Saccharomyces cerevisiae S288C: one gene and its partner. The protein of the gene in region 1 binds, or shares a complex with, the protein of each later gene. Each region holds a gene or a part of one and is shown in the gene's direction. Other genes may lie near its edges.

What was found. The genes of interacting proteins can lie anywhere in the genome.
Region 2: RPL38 (region 1) and RPL34A share a complex: the UniProt entries of both Saccharomyces cerevisiae proteins name them as parts of the large ribosomal subunit.

The regions. Positions count from the first base shown.
Region 1 is NC_001144.5:780,511-783,151, reverse strand, and holds RPL38 (60S ribosomal protein eL38 RPL38), read left to right. Parts: upstream 1-1,772; coding exon 1,773-2,009; downstream 2,010-2,641. Other genes in the region: TMA10 (Tma10p), read left to right, coding at 1-25; YLR326W (uncharacterized protein), read right to left, coding at 256-978; PEX30 (peroxisome biogenesis protein), read right to left, coding at 2,366-2,641. UniProt on the Saccharomyces cerevisiae protein: Component of the ribosome, a large ribonucleoprotein complex responsible for the synthesis of proteins in the cell.
Region 2 is NC_001137.3:268,825-272,116, reverse strand, and holds RPL34A (60S ribosomal protein eL34 RPL34A), read left to right. Parts: upstream 1-1,931; coding exon 1,932-1,968; intron 1,969-2,365; coding exon 2,366-2,694; downstream 2,695-3,292. Other genes in the region: PET117 (Pet117p), read right to left, coding at 26-349; putative isoleucine biosynthesis protein HMF1, read left to right, coding at 991-1,380. UniProt on the Saccharomyces cerevisiae protein: Component of the ribosome, a large ribonucleoprotein complex responsible for the synthesis of proteins in the cell.

The DNA.
Region 1 (2,641 bases):
TGATTTGCAACAATACCACATCTAACCGACCCGACCGGTTTGATTCCGTTAGCATATTTCAAAGAAACGGGCCTTTTAATGATTTAACGACCATATAACTTCAATAACGTGTATGCATATATAAAATGATCATGTCAAACATCCTTTATATTACTTCTTAAATACATGTTTACGATAAAAAATAAAATTTACATTATAAGTTTTTGATTGCCCATATTTGTTGATAAGAATGTAGCCTTACCGTGGCCGGTTTGTTCACCTGTAACCTCTTTGGGGGCGACCGTTAGTACTGCGCGTGTATGCTGGTGCAGGTGGAGCTGTCACAGGCGGTCTGTTATACATTTTACTATTATTTCTGTTTCCATTCACATTTTTGTTGCCACCAACTACTGGAGGTGCAGTATTGGCATTGGAATGTTTCTCATTTTCTTCTTTTTGATGCATGAGCTCCGCTTGCTTTCTTTCCAATGCCCTTTTTCCAACAAAATTGTAAACTATAGCTGCGTTTCTCGTGGAACATGCGTGCAACCATGCAAAAACACTTCCCAGAATAGGAACTAAACTAATAAGTAAATCGATAACGATATTACCATGCATCTTCACCTTGATTTCCGCAGGCAATTTATACCTGTCATCTGCCAATTCAATCAACTTATCATGCACCCAATACATCAATAAGGGTCCTATAACCGGTAGAAGTGCAAGTAATGGTGCCCATCCTATAGTGTTTGTCCAGCAACAGCATCCGCACAGTGATTTGTCATGCAGCCAGGCTTTGTTTTGGACCTTTTTCCACGCTTTACTTTCATCCTTAGTGCAATAATATGGCAGTCTGCGGCGGTGCTTTTTACCATCTTTATTCGTTTCATAAAACGGATCCCTGGTTGGCTGGAAATGCTGTTCTGCGAACTCTTGATATTGATCTTCTAAGTAATCTTGGCCTAGACCAAGCAACGTGCTCTTAATGAACCCTGACATTTGATATGGTTTCCCCCTTATTTTACTTGATGATATTGCTCCCAGCAGATCCAAGATTTATTTTCAAGTGCTCTTGTCTCACGTATACTACGACTTCTATGAAACAAATATATGAGTAGGGAACTGAACAAAAAAGCAAATTCTTCCAATGCTCTCTAGCTCGCAGTCATGTTATGATCTCATAATCACGTCCCATTCCCGGCTTCTACGCATTTTTCCACGTATTAGCGCGATTTAAAAAAAGAAAATAGAAACAAATAGCAATAAACAAAAAGAAAAGTAACGCTATTACATCCACATGTCACAACTACTTTGTGAAGTTGCAATGCGTGATTAGTATTATAAAACATCATAGCCTTGCCAAATAAACTCGCTTCCCAGAAAAGACGCCAAATTAACTGCCGCTGTTATGTGACAAAACAGGGCATCTCACATATTCGCGTACTGGTGTTCTTTTAGCTCATTCCGATATTATTCCAAGACGGAATTTTCATCTAGAGAAAATGCATCCGTGCATTTTCATAAACCCACACAATTAAAATGCCTTGCGAAAAGGAGGACTCGTCCGTGCAACTGTTGAAAAAAATAGACGGAGCATCATACGTTCGAGTGGAAAATTATGGAGAGTTTTCCAAGCTCTATGGCATGTAGAGTCGTGATTGCTGCTGTACGCTTTTGCACAATATTGAATCTTCAATCTAAAGAATTAAATTTTCTAATTTCAATGTAGAAATATTTCAACTGTTAGTTTTTTATTTCAGGTTGAATATAGTACGACAAAATATCAAGGAAAAATGGCTAGAGAAATCACCGACATCAAACAATTTTTGGAATTGACCAGAAGAGCTGACGTTAAGACCGCCACTGTTAAGATTAACAAAAAATTGAACAAGGCCGGTAAGCCATTCAGACAAACCAAGTTCAAGGTTAGAGGCTCTTCTTCTTTGTACACTTTGGTTATCAACGATGCTGGTAAGGCTAAGAAATTGATCCAATCTTTGCCACCAACTTTGAAGGTTAACAGATTATAAGAAAAATAAGGAATGATCGGAGTGTTATCATAACGAGACTGGAACAAAAAAAACTAAGAATACTTTCCCATCCGCATAAAGAATAATATCCATTTGTGTTCGTTATACAGGAAGTAGAAATAGGCTTTATAACTTTTTTTGTTTTTGTTTCCTTTTGTTTTTCTTACTACTCATAAACATATTTTTTAATTTTTAAAGTCATAACGTTGTATAGTTAATAAAAAAAATTGGATTACTATTCATTGAAGAAGAGAGTTCTATACGTTCTTTTTTAAGTTTATTTAAAGGGAGTTACCATTTGTGTAATAAAGTAAATTAGAGATTATATTATGTAAAGGTAAAAACGGGAGCGAGCATCATACGGCCTTCTTGCTATCGCGACCAATGGTTGGATTTGATTGCTCTTTCTCTTCAGTATCATCTAATACTTTTGCCAGTCGATCTCTTGCCCTAGATTTTAAAACTTCTTCATCGGTCGAGGAAATTCTTTCAAACTCGCCTTCGTTGATGTTTGATGCTTCGGCAAATTCTTTTGTCTCTTCTGTTGTAGGCTCTCCTACTTTTTTCGCATTATCTTTCTCTTGCTTGTTGCTCCCAAGCTCTTGCTCAGCGGTTAAACCATTCGTGCTGTT
Region 2 (3,292 bases), on another chromosome or scaffold:
GAGGTAAACTACTGCCGACAGGTGTTTATTTCTTAGATTCTTTAACCACCTCTCCATCTTTGGTCACAACTTCTCCACTAAGCGGTTGCATGGTCTCATACTTCTTTCGCAACTCTTTTTGTTCCTCGTGTTCACTCATATTGAAGTACCTTTTCCTTTCTTTTGTGGGATCTAATGATGCAACTCCGTTTGTCTTTCTCAACCTCTTTTCTTCGACTCGTTTAGCATCTTTTATCGGACCCTGATGCAAAGTTTCCCTTTCCATTTCTTGCACATAATGCACGCCCACTACCGTCGCTGCCGTTATCAGACAGGAAGCTGCAAACGTTATCTTGCTAGCCCTACTCATCTCAGCCGAAATTGACGTCTCCTACCGTGTGTACCGTCGTTGAATGTCAAATGTGTCCGTTTACTACGACTACCTGAATGCTAAACATTAATACAAATCAAATACTGAAAATTTAGGGGTAACCCCGAAAAGAGCCTTTAGTAAAGTTCGATGGATACGATCGGAAGATCACTTAGAAGATTATGGGCGGATTGATGGTACGAAGAGTACACTAATCTCTCATTGACATATGCCAACAGCCGTCTAGTAATTACTACTCTTGGAAACAGCGGGATCATATAGCAATATATATATTTATATATATTCAAGGCACATATATAGTCCAAACATGACTCACGAGTGGAGTCAAGCGCCAAAACTAGTGGTTTCAACCGATACTGAGCACACAATAATCATTCTTCTTATTTCACCATTTTAACCATTCTAATCCGGTAATCAATAGTAACATATTGCTATTTCATCGTGCTCACGTGGTTTCATTATAACTCCTTTCTCCATAGCGCGAGCTGCTGACCTACAAAAGAAATACTAATTTACTTCATTATCAAACGGATACATGATAAGGAACAACTTTGATATTTGGTTTCCACGAAAAAGCGAAAGAAAATTTACCCTTCGAACATCATCATTACATTAGAATTATGGTCACCACGCTAACTCCCGTTATTTGTGAATCCGCTCCAGCTGCTGCGGCTTCATACTCCCATGCCATGAAAGTGAACAATTTGATTTTCCTTTCTGGCCAAATTCCAGTGACCCCAGACAACAAGTTAGTTGAAGGTTCCATTGCTGATAAGGCTGAACAGGTGATTCAAAACATTAAGAATGTTCTAGAAGCAAGCAATTCCTCATTGGACAGGGTCGTAAAAGTTAACATTTTCTTGGCAGATATCAATCACTTTGCTGAGTTTAACTCCGTTTACGCCAAGTACTTCAATACTCACAAACCTGCCAGATCATGCGTTGCTGTTGCAGCATTGCCATTAGGCGTTGACATGGAAATGGAAGCCATTGCTGCCGAAAGAGATTAAGGGCAAGTCTTAATAGCGTCTTTTAGAACTTAGGATTTTACTACGTATTTTTTAGCTTTATAATATAAAGCCCATAGAAGTATGACTTTCATCACCTTCCCATCTGAAGAATGTACATTGTACATTGTATACTAATTTACTTGGTTCCTTCTACAAATACGATGCTCTTCGAGGACTGTTTTTTCCATTAAACATTAGGATGTAAAGGTGTTCTCAAATATATAACACATTTAGTGGTATGTATGGGTGATAAATTTTTTTCCATATATTGTGAAAAAAAAAAGAAGCTTGACTTTCGCTGTTCCCGCTTACGACTACGCTCCCCCGCTAGGTTCCCTTTAGGCCGTCATTTTCTACTGAGCCAAGGCGATTCTGGTAGTTACTCGCGCTTGGTCCCCTACCAACGAGTCGCCTGGTCGACGCTTCCTCCGTGTAATTTCGTGAGCCTAGGCGCAGAGGATATTATCTAGAAGGAATTGAAATATTATAGATTAATTACGCTTAGTGTTAAACGGTATTAACGTGTAGACTGCATAACAGAACAACCAAAGATGGCCCAACGTGTTACTTTCAGAAGAAGAAATCCATGTATGTTAAAGGCACACTTATAAATTACGAGAAATTCTGACGAGATGATGATTATTCAACTAAAAAAGAGCAAGAGAGGAGAGGATACCATGTCAGGGGTCCTAGTATAGTTATCAAAAGCAATTTACCCCGTTTTTGTAATCCACTATCAATAACTTATTCTGCGCGAAATATTGTGTCCAGAAATAATACAATATTAGTAGCAATGAGAAGAAAAACGATAGTTAATAAGAGCAGCCACTTTTAACCCTGATACTGACTAGAGCTAATAATCTCAATCTGTGTTACGAAAATTTCTTTTAAAGTTTTCTCGAACTCCTTCCTATTGAAACATTTCGTACTAACATATTTTTCAAATGAGAAAGTATACCAACTTTCTGAAAACATTTTCAAATAGACAACACCCGTTCTAACAAAATCAAGGTTGTTAAGACCCCAGGTGGTATTTTGCGTGCCCAACATGTCAAGAAGTTAGCTACCAGACCAAAGTGTGGTGACTGTGGTAGCGCTTTGCAAGGTATCTCTACTTTGAGACCAAGACAATACGCCACTGTTTCCAAGACCCACAAGACTGTTTCCAGAGCTTACGGTGGTTCCAGATGTGCCAACTGTGTTAAGGAAAGAATTATTAGAGCTTTCTTGATCGAAGAACAAAAAATTGTCAAGAAGGTTGTCAAGGAACAAACCGAAGCTGCCAAGAAATCTGAAAAGAAGGCTAAGAAATAAACTTTAAGAAAATGTTACTTTTCTTATGTACCTAATTAACTGTTTTATATAAAGCACGAATAAAAATAATTCATATCACAAGAAAACTTTCATGGCTCTAGCGCTCTATGAATAATGCTTTTTGTAATGTTGTCGAGCTACTATTTCTTCATTAATCATCGTCATCCATAGCCATGGGAATTTAGTAGTCAATCGCCTGTCCAACTGTAGACGACGTAACTCTGCTATAAAAAAGACCTGTTCATATTTTATTTTTTTTTTTTCATGTGCCACGAACAATTTAATGTATGGGAATACAACTGCAAAAGAAAAAATCAAAAAAAGAAATCACACACCACAAACACCAAACATTATGCCAGAAGCTTTCGCCAAATCCTGCGTCGATTAATTTAATGTGAACACCACCTCAGATCTAACACTGATGAAAAGCCTTACAAATCTCAACACATCTTTTCCTTTATGAAGAAGAGTGCCTTGCACAACCATACATACAGGAACTTGATAAAGCCTACAGATAAAATCCAAGTGGAAAGTAAACAAAAAATCCTAGAGAATGCTCGCTGAAAAAAAAAAAGATGTCAAGACAGATTACGTCGTA